2 linked regions of the Pelodiscus sinensis genome follow. The protein of the gene in region 2 interacts with the protein of the main gene of each other region in a pairwise test. Links are inferred from orthologs where the notes say so. Each region holds a gene or a part of one and is shown on either strand. Other genes may lie near its edges.

Evidence for each region. The genes of interacting proteins can lie anywhere in the genome.
Region 1: the proteins of SDCBP2 (region 2) and PTMS interact in a two-hybrid assay, tested with the Homo sapiens proteins (2 studies listed by BioGRID and IntAct). The two-hybrid records come from large-scale screens. The link is inferred for Pelodiscus sinensis from reciprocal best matches to the Homo sapiens genes SDCBP2 and PTMS.

Annotation. Positions count from the first base shown.
Region 1 is NC_134711.1:138,425,048-138,432,422, forward strand, and holds the start of PTMS (parathymosin), read right to left. Parts: upstream 3,012-7,375; 5' UTR 2,777-3,011; coding exon 2,729-2,776; intron 1-2,728.
Region 2 is NC_134728.1:2,655,355-2,662,968, forward strand, and holds the start of SDCBP2 (syntenin-2), read right to left. Parts: upstream 3,062-7,614; 5' UTR 2,826-3,061; intron 1-2,825.

The sequences.
Region 1 (7,375 bases), on a different chromosome or scaffold from region 2:
TAATGGAAAAACTTTTCCGTTATAAGTATTTCCGCAAAATCATGCCAGTCTAGACACAGTCGATAGGTTAGAAACTGCTCCTGTATGCAATGTATTGTATAATTGTCCACTAGGGGGTTTCCTGAGTCTTCCTCTGAGGCAGCTGGTGCAGGCCATGGTGAGAGGGATTAGATGGACTCTGGGTCAGATCCAGTATGACAATTTCTGTATCATCCGAGTGTCTGTCATTGAATGAATAATTATCCCTCTTCCCCCCTCCAGCCCTGGGAACAACACCTCCCTCCAATTACAAATTAGCAGAAGTTCCCTTGTCCCAGGAGAGGCTGGGACTAATTTAATCTTACTTACTATAGGATTGGGAGGAGAGAGGCTGGAGAGAGTCCCTCCTCTGCATGATCAGACAGGAAAAGCTCTCTCAGGCTATGTCTACGCTACATCATATGTCATCATAACTTATGTCACTCAGGGGTGGGAATAAACCATCCCCTGAGCAAAGTAAGTAATACCAACATAAGCTCCAATGTAGACAGCGCTATGTTGGCTGGAGAGGTACAGCCACCCTACCTGAACCAAGAGCTGGATCACACCCTCCAGACCATACCCTGGGGCTCCTTGTTCTCAATGTTTTCAGCAATAGGAGTCTAGGCCCTTCAGTTGGTAAAACAACTCCCCAGTGTCACCAACCCCTCAGTGCTGTGCAGCTGTTTCCTAGCTCTAGTCAGAATAGGTTGAAATGTAAAGATCTCAGTTTTCTGGCCACAACTAATGAGAGACTGACAACTGTCTGCTAGTGCCTCAAGGGCATGAACCCTAGAGGAGGACTGTGTAAGGGGGGAGCTATTGGAAAAGAACTGCGGCTGAGCCAAGGAAAAGATGTTCTGTGACCATCCCTCAATGCTTAGGGATCTGGGAAGCCAGGAGCCATTTCCCCCAAAGAAGTGGCCCAGAAGAACCCCATCACTCTGGTCACTAGGAACTAAACCTCTGAGTGGAACTACTCATATGCCTAAATACCCTGCTGAATTGAAGGCTAGGCATCCTGGGAATGGAGCGAGAGGAAACATCCTTCCCTACATAGTGCAGGAGGTGATGTGGATTTTCCCAGCTCTGATGTCTACTTTTTAAAGGCATTTTTCATATTCTATAAAGCCACAGGAGAAAAGACTGTCCCCTGTAGTATTAACCTTTATCTTCATGACCCCAGCTGCAACTCGGAATGTGGGAGGCAGTCAGAGAAATGCAGTATTTAGCTTTCTCAGCTAGATAAAAAAAATCGGGGAAGCCCCATGCCATAAAGCACTTGGTATTTAGAGTCTTTTCCATGTAATCCACTATCGCTGTTTTGGCAGTTGATTTTCTGTATAGGTTTGCCATGAATGTGGGTAGCTGAATGTGCTCCCTAGCACCTACAATGCAGCAGTGAAAAGGCTGGCTCAGGAGCATTTTATTCTTTTACTATTTGGGACTTGTCTTTGTCCAAACTGGTAATGAGAGTTTATATTTGCCCAAGGACTAATAAGTCATAGTGATGCCATCTGTTCCCTACACTCTGCCTCACTCCTCTCTCTTCACCCTCCCTCCTTTCCCTCTCTCTCCCTCAGTCATTTTCTTCCTTAAGTCTATTAACCTTTAGCTATCCAAAACAGCAAAACCATTTCTAAAGCACCAGCTTCTGCACCAGCAGCCTTTAAAAGAGATCCCCTGGCTTAGGCTATAACACTGCATGTGGGGGCTGGGTGGAACAAAACTACATGCCCACATTTTGGATGAATTGTTTGTGACTTTTTCTCCCATGCCCCTGTGCTGCACATAATGCAAACATGCAAAGCCTCAACACACAACCAACCCTCACCAAAGCCCAGCCCACAGCACCTCCAGTACAAAGAGCCCCTTCCCACCACACTCGCAGCACACCCAATGCTCAAAACAGAGGGCCACAAGGCAGGCAAACACCATTCCTGGCAAACAATGCTCGGCACCGCCGCACTCAAAGAGGGAGAGATCAGCATTCAGAGGGACTCAATCTAGGCGCTAGCAGCATTTAGCACAGCTCGCACCCTCACCCACTCGTGCACACCCACAAGCGCACGCACGGCACTAGTGTACTCCCACCTCCTCCTGTGACATTACTCTAACGTGGTCAGTCTAACAAAGCCCTCCGCCACCCACCCCTGCCGATCGGCTCGGACCCCGGCCGGCCGCATAGAGCGGCACTGCCCCCGAGCGTCTGGCCAAGTCGGCACGGTTTGCCCAGGGGCGGCAGAAACGTGCAAGGGCTTTGCAAAGCAAGCGATCGGGGAGCAGCCCGCGCGTGGGGCTAGCTTTGTGGCCCGGGAGGCGAGGAGCGGCGCAACGGGAGCTCAGCGCGCAGGCGAGGCGAGGGCGAGACAAAGCGGCCGAGGAGGAGAAAGAGCGAGCGCTGTGGCGGCACAAATACTTCTGCCCCGCTCACGTGTGCATCGCACGCGGGGCCGCCGCTCCACGCAAAAGCTATTTCAGCGCCCAGGACCGGAGGGAAGCCGGGGGGAGGAAAGGCGCCCCTGAGAGGAGGCGAGAGCAATGCGGGGGGGGGGGGGCGGCAGAGAGTAGCCAGCCCTGTCCTGCCCCTGCTTTCCCCGCGCCGCCGCTGTCATGCGAGGATCGCCGAGCTCTTCCCAGCGAGACTGACAGGAGGGGGCGAGGAGGACGGGGGCCCAGCAAACGAGCGCAGGGTCAGGCTGGGGCTCACCTTGGCACCCACTTCTGCCGGCGCCTCTTCCGCGCGTTTCTCCGACATCCTGGCTGGTGCGGCAGCGGGAGCAGAGGAATTACCCACCAAGCAACGCCCGGGAGCCCCTGGGAAACGAGCTAGCGGAGACTGGGCGGCAGGACCAAGGAGCGCAAAGTCCCAGGCACCCAAAGGCCAGTGGCAGCAGCTCGTGTCCGGGGCCAAAGTGCCAGGGTCTCCCGTCCCGCCGTGCTGGGGGATATGCCAGAGAAGGGGATTTATACACCACTCGGTGACGACGGAAGGAGGGACCTGGGGAAGGGAGGGGAGAGGACTGGGAGGGAGAAGAGGGAGGCACGACGCACAGCAAGCCAGGTTGGTGGAAAGAGCCTTGGAACAACGTGCGCGCACATCTGCCCGCCCGCTGACAAGTAGGGGAAGCAGCGCCGTGCGCTGAAGGGGTGCTGGGAGCCCGGGGGTCAGGTCCCGGCGCTAGCAGTCACCTGTTGGATGACCTTGGCCACATCTCGGAGTCTCTGTTTTCCCACCCCTGCCCAGTCTATCGGCCTGTGTGCCAGCTCTTCAGGGCAGGGACCCTGCCTCACTGTGCATCGTACTGATCGGGATGGGACGCTACTGCAGTAGCAATACTAACAAATAGCACATTGCTCTTCACCCTCTTGCAGAAGAGAAGCGAGGCCGAGACAGGGAAAGTCACACAAGTCAAAGCAAAGAGCCGAAATCCTGCCTCCCCAGCTGCTCTCTAGCCCATGGGACCTACGTCCTCTCAGAAGGCAACCCAGAAGCTCTGGCCCCAACTCTCTCCCATTAGCTGTGACTTACTGCTGGGTCTAGGGGTGGAGCAAGAGCACGGGGGAGATGCCGGGGGTTCTTAGGTGACGGGCTGAAACTCCCTGACATGAAAAGTGCTACTAGCCACCATCTTGTCCCCTGTGCCTGTCTCTATCTCGCCTTTGCTCCTATCTCCTTAGGACAGATGGAAACTCTTGGCTTTATCGTCCAACCACTCTAACCGCTGACACTTCAGCTATTGGTCGCCCTATGATGCCACTGCGGGGGCTCCCCCATTCACACCCGGCCCAGCTGCGGGCTGGAGGACGCTGGGGAGGAAAAGGGTGCTTGGCACGAAGGCAGAGGCGGAATTCTGGTCCCGCCTTGACTCAAAACATCCCTGTTGGGTCTGGCTCTCGGGCCCAGACGTGACCCTCGGCCCCCTCCCCGCAAGCTGGGCCCGAGGCAGCCCGGCACCGAAGTGACAGAGCAATCGCAGCCCGGCTCGCCAGTGCCCCGGCGCTTCACACCAGGCGCTCCGCCCTGCAGGGCTCGGTCTGGGGCAGGGCGGCGAGGAGCCATCCCCACGAGGGGCGCTGGCTGCGGGCGCAGCGCCCAGCAGGAGTCGCGGGGCTGGGGCTCCAGGCGGGCCAGCAGGAGGCGCGGGGGGAGGTACGACGTGCCTGGCAGAGCTGGGCGGGGCGGGGCACTAATGTCGCGCGCGCTTCCAGCCTGGAATTTTCCACTCCAGCAGCCCGCGCTCCCCGCACGCCCCGCCCCTCCTGGCTCCATTCCCACCCTGCCCTGCTCGCTCCGCCCCCCACCGCCTGCGCCCAGGCAGGGCGGGGTCGGGTCGGGTCCCTCCTGCGCGGGAACCAGGCAGGGCCAGGGGTGTTTTTCCCGCGCTCTGCGGATGGGGGGGGAGGGGGAAGTTAATGGGGGAAGGGAAGAAGCGGCGCCCAACACTCCATATAAGGAGGGACAAATGGGCGGGCATCCGATTGGGTAATTCAAATGAGCATTGGCCTGGCAACAGGCTTCTCATTGGCTGCGGGAAACAATTCTGGGCAATGGGGAAAAGGCGCACAGGCGAGACTGGGAAAGAGGCCAGCAGGCGGGGAGGGTGTTACTATGGCAACCAGGGAGGGGTCTGGGTTTCCGTGGGGGGCGGGCGGCGGCGGCGGGGCTGACCCGGGCTGAGCTCCGGCCAGTCGAGTGTCCCTGGGGCCGCTGCCCCCAGCGCACGTGGCCGGGGGCCGGGCGCCGCCGCGGGCGATGCCAGGGAAAGGGCGGCGGGGATTGGCGCTGCGCTGTGCGCGCGGCTGGGGCAGCCCGGGGCCCGCCAGACAGCGGCCGGCTCGCCGCGCTCGCTGGGTCTGTGGCCGGGGGGCTCGGGCCCGTCACGGCCCCGCTTCCCGCCGCGGCTGAGGGCCCCGAGGCGCTGGAGCGCGACGCCGCCAGCAGGCGCGAGTCTGTGCGCGAGGTGCGGGGCAGTGACGCCGGCTGGCCGCGGGGGCGCTGCACTGGCTGCCCGTCCGCCGGCCCCAGCTGGCGCCCAGCTCCGTGTTGGGCCGTGTCCCCTCCCAGGCGCCCCGCCCCTGAGCCAGGGAGTTTTGTTTTTGCGCCAGTACTGAGGTCGCCGTCGCTTGTCCGGTGTGTGCCACCGCAACCCAAGCTATGACCCGCTCCCTTTCCCCTCACTGCCATGTCTCCCAGCCTCCCCCCGCCCTCCTCTGCTGTCCTGGCTCCTGCCCTTCTCACTCCCCTCAGCTTTTTGGGGCCCAGCCCCATCCTCATTGACCCCTGCATCTTCCCTTCCTCCTGTGCCTATACCTCCTCTAGTCCCCCGCTCTGATCAACTGCCTCTTCCCCATTCCCTCACTGCCATGCCTCTCTCCTCTGGTGCCCAACCCTCCTCTCCAGGGCTGTGTCTACACTGGCGCGATCTTGCGCAAAAACTTGCTGCCTGTCTACACTGGCTGTGTGTTCTTGGGCACATAATCTGACATTCTGCTGTATGAAATCAGGGCTTCTTGCGCCAGAACTCAGATGTTCCCACTCAGGAATAAGCCCTTTTGCACAACTGTTCTTGCGCAAGAGGCCAGTGTAGACAGGCAACACGAATTTCTTGCGCAAGAAAGCCCGCTGGTTAAAATGGCCATTGGAGCTTTCTTGCGCAAGAGAGCGTCTACACTGGCAAGGATGCTCTTGTGCAAAAGCACATGCCAGTGTAGACGCTCTCTTGCGCAGCTACTTTAAGGCAAGAACTCTTGCACTGAAGAGTTTTTGCACAAGATCACGCCAGTGTAGACATAGCCCAGGTGTCTGCCCTGCTGCTTAACCCCCCACAATACTCTGGCACCTGCACCTTCTCTTACCCCTGCACCTTCCTGGTGCCTCCCCCTTTGCTCACTGCCCCTACCCTCCTTGCCCGCTTTCTCCCTGATGCCACCACCTCCTGCCCCAGTTCCCCTCATGCCCCTCTGAGCCCTCACACATGCCTTGCTCCATCTCCTGCCTTTCTCATGCCCACTCTCCTTTCAACCCCTCTTCTTCTGGCACCCACTCCTCCCCTCTCCTCTTCTTCCTGCTTGCCACCACTGCCCCTCTCCTTGCATCACCCTGTTTCCCCACTCCCACTGACACCTTCCCGCCCCCTCTCCTGCCCTTTTTCTCATTGTCTCCTCTTGACCCCCTGGCATTTGTCTCTTCTGCACCCTGCCCCTTAGTGCCTGCCCCTTTCTTCTCCTGCCCTGGCCTCCCTTTCTCTCAGCACAAGCCCCTTCCTCTAGTTCTCTCTCTACCCCTTTCGTAACTTTCTACTTTCAATGAGGAAAACAGTTTGCTGGGACCGCGGTCCTATTTTTAGTTCTGCAGTCCCAGCTACAGAAGCCACCACAGTCCGGCCCCCCAGCTGCTCCCGGGGCAGGACCATGTGGCAGGACTGCAGCAGAGGCTGCCTACAGTGCTGTTTTTAGTACCACAGTCCTAGTCCCCAGGGCACCTTGGTACTAAAAATAGCACCACGGGTGGCCCCAGCTGCCTGCCTGACAGGCTGCTGGCTCCATCCTCGGCAACAGTAAAATAATCAGGTAAGCGATAAGAATCCATGAGGTTGATTATTCACTTAACCAGTATTTAATGTCCCTAGACTGAGATACAGAAGCTTTCACTTTGAAGGTCCTGGTTTCAGTCTAATTTCAGTCAAGGAGACTGGCTGTTTCAGGGAGAGGGCCCTGCACATAGGTGGTAATCCCTGGTACATAGTTGCAGATCAGATGGGGATACAAATTTTGTGTTTCGTAGAGCACTAGAGATCAGGTTAGAAGATATAGAGCCTTTTGTTATAAGGGCTCAGGTTCTAGATCTAGCCCTCTTCAGTGAAAGTTGTCCCCAGATGATAGTTTGGGGACCCCTCTGTGAGAGGTTTCTGAACCTTGTTACTAATGAAATACTTGTTCCTATTGCCATACTTGGAACACTGCTTAGTGTTCTTATTAAGCACGATAAATGATCCACAAACACTACACTCTCCTTTTCCAGGATGGAGAATGCTCATGCACATTGCCAAACATAGGGCTGTCCCTAGGGAGACGTGGGGCCAGGGCAAGTCTGCCCCCCTAACCTGCCCCTATGCTGCTTCTGCTTGTGCCCTGCCCTCACTCCGCTCCTGTCCCTGTTCAGCCCCCACCTAACCCCTGCTTTGCCACCCTCCCACTTCCATTACATCCCTTTCCCAAAGCCCCCCTCCCCCCATGAGTGATGCAAGCTGGGGCAGGGATTGGGTCCTCCTGTAGTCACCATAATGGCAGGAGCTAAAGCAACCTCGCAACTTGCTCCACTCTGCACTCATTGCCCATCTCCCAGCCTGCTGCG
Region 2 (7,614 bases):
CTAACGGCCACAAGGGCTGGTCGTCCTCCGCTCTGCCTAAGGCACAAATGGGAGAGCTACAGCAGGGGTCTCAAACAATTCATCTCAGGGCCATTTCTCAGGTTCTCGTGGGCCACCTCCCCCCAACTCCGGCAATGGCTCTGGGAGGCGGGGAGGATGTCCCACACACACCTGTCTCCCAGCCCTGCCTGCCAGCCTGCGCTCTTCCCGCACCCCGCGTGTCCCCCAGCCCTGTCTGTGCCCCCTTCTCCCCCAGCACTGGCAGTCCATGGGGCTAGAGACAGTTCTTGCTGCGAGCTCCGTGTCGCTCCTGGCACGTGGGGGATGCAGGGGACGCAGAGCTGCCCCACCCATGGGATGGCTCAGCGTGGCCGGCTCAGGCCCCACAGTGGCCACACCCCACCCCACCCGGCTGCCCCACCCAACCTGGGGACAGGATGGGTCCCATACACAGGTTAGCCCGGGAGGCTGCTGCATCACTCCACTTCCCCACGGCTCCCACCACCGCAGTGTGGGGGAGCAGGGGCTGACCCCAGCTGTCCCCCTGCCAGGCCACCAGAGGCTGCGTCTGATGGGGGAGGAGTTTGCGGAAAGGGATGCTATTGGGGGAGGGAGAGGGCACAGCAGGGGTGGGAAGAGGGTGGGGGTGGAGCAGGGGCTGGACTTGGGGGAGGGTACAGACAGCCCTTCAGGGCTGCAAGGATTCCTGTGCCGGCAGCCGGACTGGGGCGGTGGGTGGCCCTCCAGGGACACCGGCACTGGCCATAGCGCAGTTTCATGGCAAGTCCCGGTCTGACGGCAAAGCACACGCTGCTGCGAGCCCGGCGGGTGTCTCTCTGGGCAGAGCTGTCAGACCAGAGCCCCCCGACGGCTGCGTCCCACCCACAGAGAACCCCACAAAACCAGCTGTGTGCTGCATCAGGGCCCTCCCCGCGACACTGACAGAGGGGCCCAGACTCCAGTGGCACCGAGATCAAATGGGATCCTCCTCTCCTGCGACTGAGGCCTACTCCTGCCGGCGGACCCCAGGCCGGACTCCCGGGACCTGCAGCTGGAGTGCTGGGAAACCGAGCAGGGAAGGTGGAAGACACAAGACCCTGCTTGACTCAGCCGTGTAGCTTTACTTGTTGCCCTTCCTGCGGGCTGGCCTGAACCTCCCCTGCAGAGTGCGGCCAGTTCCCAGCGGGTGCAAAGGAGGGCAGCTTTCCAAGTTACGCCGGGGAAGAATCTGGCCTCTGGCACGTTCTGAAACTAGCGTAGGAGGCAGGGACGTGAGCCAGACGCCTAGCTTCCACTGAAGCGTGGATCTGAGCCAGGGGCCCTGCCCCCTGGATCTGTCCAGCCTGGTGTTAAACACCCCAGAGAGGCAGGAGGTGGCTCTCTTCCCACCCACGTCCTTAGGAAACAGCTGATCTGATAGCAAAGACTGGCCCAGCCCAGCTCATGTCACGCTGTCGTCAGCCAGCCACGGTCCGACCCGCGACGGCTCTGTGTGTGTGTGTGTGGGGGGGGGGGGATTGCTCAAGTCAGGATTAGTCAGAGCCAACTAGACGGTGTTCCGGAGCCCTGGCCGTCTGTTTCCCCACTGGCAGGGCTGCGGGTTGCAAAGGCAGGCAGGGAAACAGAGCTTAGCTCCGAGAACACGACCCCCCGAGATCAGGCTTGCCGGGAACGGTGGAGTCAATGCCAGGATTCTACGTGCAGGATCTCAAAACAGGAGCACATGCCAGAGGCCAGCCGCAGTCAAGAGAAATAGCATCACCTTGGGTCTGGGGGCCCCCCACTCCGCCCTGCCTCGGCACCTGCCCCAGTGCCCAGGAGTTCAGAGGTAGCGAGACAGGCAGTGCCGGGCATATGGAAACTAGCCCCCAACCTCAGCTGGGCAAATGTCATGGCCTTCCCCAGCCCAGAAACTTTGGGACCCAGCCAGGGTGCAGTCAAGTCAGTGACCGGGTGACTCCCGAGGGAGCAGAACCGGGTGACTCCCCAGCGGATGGAAAATGTAGCGGAACCCCCCCACTCCCACCGCGTCCTAGCATCTCTCCGCCCGATTCGGACGCGCCAGGACGGCCACAAAGCGAAGCAGATCCCAGAGCGATTTCCCAACACGGGGAGCAGCGCTCCCTTCCCACGAGCCCCCAGGCTCCACAGCAACGTCGCCCTCTGGGGCAAAGGGGTGTGGAAATCGTCAGAGCCCAGCTGGACTCCATGGGCCTTGGACAATTTGCATTAGCGGGGAACCTGTCTCCAGAGGTGTCAGTGCCCAGGGCCCACGGCGGGGCCCCGAGGCTCTCAGCAGCCGGTGTGCACCCCAGGCGATGCCCCCTTTGGAAAAACTGGCCCCCATCCTGTTGTGAAGTGGGTACCTGGGGGTCACCCTGGTCCCAGTGGAAATGCTGCTGCCAGGGATCAGAACCTGGGCCTATCATGTGCTCAGTTACAACAAGCGAAAGCCCAATTTAAAAAATCAACAGCCGGTGTCCCCTCCCGCCCCTGCCACCCACCCCCTGGCCAAACAGCACAGGGCGGAGCAGCCCAGCAAGGAGGACCAGCCTCTCCCAGAGTCGAATGCAGACCTGGGATGATTTCGATGGGGCTGGTCCTGCTATGGGCGGGGGGCTGGACTCGAGGACTCCTGAGGCCCCTTCCAGCCCTGGGATACTACGACTAACTGGGCTGACTTGGAGCCCATCACACGCCCCAGGATTTGATTCCCAACCCTGCGGACGCCAAACACCCCAAAGAAGGGGAAGTGGAGTGGGGGAAGCAGGGTGACACTTCACACATCCCACCCACAGCCATGCAGAAGGGGCATCCCTCCTTACCTGTGGGACAGCTCCGGAGCAGGTGTCTTCTCCTGCACGCTCTACCTGCCTCTCCCACGGGCCGGTGACTTTATAAGAGCAGGTGCTGCCTGTCTGGGCGGGGCCTCGCCCTATCAGCTGACCTGGCCGTCAGCAGATTGGAATTCGGCAGCCCAGGGAACAGGCAGGTGCCGGAGAGAGAGAGGAAGTCTTCCTCCATCCAGGCTCAATGTTGGCGAAAGGTGCTAGGATCAGGGGTTTTTTTGTGACGGTACTGCCCAGGACACTGTACTGGAACCTCCAGTCAGCGCTTACCTGGAAAGAACAGAGCATAAGCATACCAGCACCTCTCTACAGGCAAATGTTCGACAGTCGGCTGGGCCGTGTGTCTTAAAGGGGCTGCTTGTCTTAAAAGGGCAAGGCCGGCCCCACCCCATCTTTTTTTTTTGCTCAACAACTGGAGTACTGGCACTTTTTTTTTTTAAACAAAATAAGCACTGGCTAGGATCACCCATGCCCAAAGTCTGTGAAGCAGGGCATCTGCGCCTCAGGCTGCTCTGCGCAGGCATCTGGAGTCCCCGCCTCTTGGGGGCATCGTTTCCACCATCGCTCCTAGCATGCGGGTCACTGGCCCGAAAATGGCCCAGGGGCTCAGGGTGTAGATGGGAGGCAGGTTCTAAACTGGAGAACGGCTTCCCTGAGCTCGGGGTGGGGAACCTAAGGCTAGGAGCTGGATCCAGCCCTCGACTTGTCTGGAGCCAGCTCTCCCGGCACCCTTGCAGCATTGGGGAGCCGGTGCTGGCACTCCAGCCCTGCAGCCTCGTTGCCCCGAGCCTCGCTGGAGTCAGGCAAGCCTGGAGCTGGGTCCAGCCCTCAGACTCTGCCTGGCAGGGGGAGGAAGTGGCTCCAAGCGCTGCCCCTCCCCCTCCCCTGGGCTGGGGAAATGGCAGCACAGACCACCCCCCCTCCCAATGCCCAGCCTGCTCCTGCACCCTCCTCCCCCCCCACATCCTCAGCCCCCACTCTGCTCCTGCCCCCCACCTTCCCTGCTCAGCCTGCTCCTGCACCTTCCCACTCAGGCACCACACTCCACATGCGCTTCCCAGCAGCCCCCCCCACACACACACACATTGAACCCCTCCCTGTTTTGGCCCCCACCCCAGAGCCTATGGGGGGGCACAAAAATCTACTAGCCTGCCCCCCTGCCAGCTGTGTGTGAGGGGAGCGTGAGGAGGGTCTTTCAGTTGCAGGTGAGGGGTTTTTCCTTCTCACTTGTGTGCAGCCCCTGACTGATTTTCCTGTGGAACAGAGGCCTCCCACCCCAAAAAATCCCCCCCCCGTCCTATCTGCAAGGTCAACATCAAGCACAGGGGCAGCGCGGCCTAGCGGGTGAGGATACAGAGCAGGGACCAGGGCTGACTCCCGGCTCTGCTCTCTGCCTTGTGGCCTTGAGTATGTCACCTCCCAGCTGCAGGCTGGGGTCGCTGCTCCTGCCCATCGTTCCCTCGCCTCAGCCCAGTCCGCTACGAATCCCTCCCGCCGCCGTGTGACCCTCTGGGACAAATTCAAAGCTGCTGCGAGGCCTTGGTCCTCCCTGAGAGCCTGGTTGCCGCTGGCAACCGCTGCCCGGCGTTGGCTAGCACATCGCACAGCCTGGGCCCCAGCGGCAACCAGACCCACAAGCTTGGCCAGCATGGCGATCGGAGCCTCCGCCCCCCGGATGAGAGGAGAGCTCATGTGGCGCTTGGTCCAGGGGTGCAGGATACGGACACAGCCAGGGGCTGTTAATACTGGCACTGCCTGGGCCGCTGAAGGGGAGACCGGCCCGGCCAATTCCATTGGCTTGAAAGGGCCCCGTCTGCAGCCAGGGGCCAGGTGACCCTGGAGACCCCATGACGACAGGGTGTTTGCAATGCTCAGTGCTGCATGGCCACGGTGAGGGGCTGCGAGTCACCGTGTTACGCCAGCTGATGGGAGCCTTGCTTGGGCTTGGCGGGGTGCAGGCTGGCCAAGGGGGGGGGCGAGGGGGGCGGCAATTCAAAGGGGCCCAGGGTTCTTGGTTAAGTCATTGGCACAATGTGGATGGGGCGGGGACTGCAGCGAGCTGGCTGCCTCAGCCCCGCCCCTTCCACCTGAGGCCCCGCCCCTTTCTGGGAGAGCCGAGCCCTCCACCTTATTTAGGGGCCCATGGCGGCTGTCAGCCCCGCTGGCTGGGTGGCAGAACCTGCCGCCAGCAGCCTGTCAGCCAACCACCTCTTCTGGGCCATCCCAGGCTCGCCTTGCAGATCAACAATTTGCACCCGGAGTCCCTTTGCCGCGTCTCCCTGGGACATCCCAGCCCCTCACCCTGGCCACGCCCAGAAATCCCAGCTCCTCTGCCTCCAAAGGGCCTGAGCACCCAGCGTCTGCCTGAGATCCCAGTCCCTGTGCGGAGCCCTGGGGAGCCCTTGCAATGACACCCCCGGGGGCTGCGTTATGGGAAGAGAAACCTTCAACCAAAACTAAGAGGCTGGTGCACGCCACTGGCTACGATTCAAAAGAACAGACCAGCCTGGCCTGACGCTCCTGGGACCCCTTTCCTAGCTAACAAGGCAGGTGCCCCCCAATACCGTTTGCTGCTGAGCAGCCTGGCTTCCCAGGAGCCAGCGCCCAAAAGCTCAAGAAAACTGCCCTGCCCCCCAACGGGCTCCTGAGTGAAAGGAGACAGGGAGCCCGTCCTCCGCTGGCTTACGCTGACACGCCCGCGGCTTGTTGTGTTTCCTTTATCACCTGCCCCCTGGCTTTGCGTGTTTGCCATTGCCACAGATGGGGTTTTGCCAACATATTGCGCAAGGCCACACAAAGGTGAGACCAACACCCTACCCGAATGGGCCGGCGCGGAGACACGTCGTCCCCAGGGACTCTCTGCTACCCCCAGACAGCACAGTCTCAATAGAACGACAGGCCTGGCAGAACCTCTGAAAACCGGGATGCTCTGGTCTGGCAACTCCCTGGCAGGACCCCACAGCTGTTCCTAGGCCAGGCAGCCCCAATGGAGGGGACTCAGCCAGCGGGAGGGACTGGCCGGGAGCCAGGCCGCAGGGCAGCGGGGCAGGTGGTGGCAGCCATGGGGCAGGTTTGGCAGCAGCTGTGGGGCAGCCTGGACTGGAGCCGGTGGCAGTCCCGGGCCAGCAGCCACTAGCAGCCTGAGCAGGTCATTGGCCAGGAACCCAGCAGGGCGGGATCGGCCAGTTCAGGGCAGGATCGGCCAGTTCAGGGCGTGGCGGAGGCGGCAGGTTGGCAGCTGGGCCAGAATTGACCTCTCTTGGCCCGGCAAAATCCCTCCTCCGGGACCAGCCAGGTGCCGAGGGTGCTGGAGCAGGGAGTCCGACCTGCAGCCCCTCAGTCTTATCCGCGCACGCGACCTGCAGCCCTTTCTGCAGTGACTCCCTGGCTGACTAGCCAGCCAGACGTGCTCGGGGCTGAGCTGAGAGTTGTTTGCAAAGCTTAGGGGATCCTTGGGCACAGGGTCGGTCTGACACCCTGACACTGATGCAGCAGGACAGGATAGTGGTTAGGCTACAAGCGCAGGCCTGGGCTCGCTTTTCCGGCCAGGGAGTCTCCTACCCTGTTTTCTTTCCATTTGCAGGACACAGGCGCCTGCTGTTCCTGCTAAGCTCCAGTGCATCGCCGCAAATGGGTTCCTTGGGGCTGGACGGGGGGGGGGGGGGGGGGGGGGAGGGGCGGGAGGCAGGATCTGACAACACCCACGCTTGACTGTGGAACAGCTACCGGCTTCACGGTTTGCCTGCCCCTTGGTACTGGCGTTCCCTAACAGAGTAGCTTTGTACAGTCGCGGGTGGGGGCGGAGGGTGCAAGAATGTAGCGAGGTCTTTCTTGTGGCTCTGTGCATTGTCCCTGGCACTGAACACAACTGTGTCCAGCTCCCTGTCAGTGGCACATCCCAAAAGTTAATTAAGCCTCGCCACCCCCGGGGAAGGCAGCACGACTAAACCCATTCTACAGGTGGCAAAACTGAGCCGCCGCCGGCTGCACAGACATCCGCGGCCGAGTTAAGAACAGGGCCCAGGAGTCTGCATGATGCTCCAGCCTGGCTCTGGAGATGGGGATGGGCATCTGGGTCTGATACCACCAGGTGAGCGGTCACAGGCCTTCCCCGCAGCAGCCCGCGTCGCAGCCAAAGTACAGATTCCACGAGCCCTTTGCATCCAGGAAGAAAATCAGTCGCCTTCCTCGCAGATACTCATGGGGATGGATCTCTCCAGCGGAGGGGGGGCCTGTGGATTTCTACGGCGCGCAGGGCACACACCGAATTTCAAAGGTATCACGGGAAGACCAGGTTCGGACACAGGTTGCCTGCAAGTTTGTTCTGCACGGCCTTTCCCTACACACACCCTGTGGTCAGCTTCCCCCTGGGCTACACGGGGGCGACGCCGGCTCATTGGACCAGAGGGGGAAGATGCTGAGAAGCAGTTTTTCACCCGGCAGCGTCAGCCTGAGAGGCCCAGGAAGTAAGGGGGCAGGGAGCACGGGGGCAACTAGGAGGGCAAACCTGCCCCCGGGTGTTCCCTGCTGCTCTGATGTGGGGCACAAACCCAGAGGCCATCACATAAAAGCAGGAACCTGCTGGTTGTTTGGCAAACCGCCCCCTCCCTCCCCCCCGTGTGCACCGTCACCCTGCTGCCCGCAGTGTGCGTTAGACACCAAAGGCCTTGGAATGCTGCCCAGCCGGCTCTGGGCCATCACGTCAGGAGGGCACATGGGGCGGGCAGGCTATTTTTAGCAGCCGCCGCGGGAAGGAGTGCCCCAG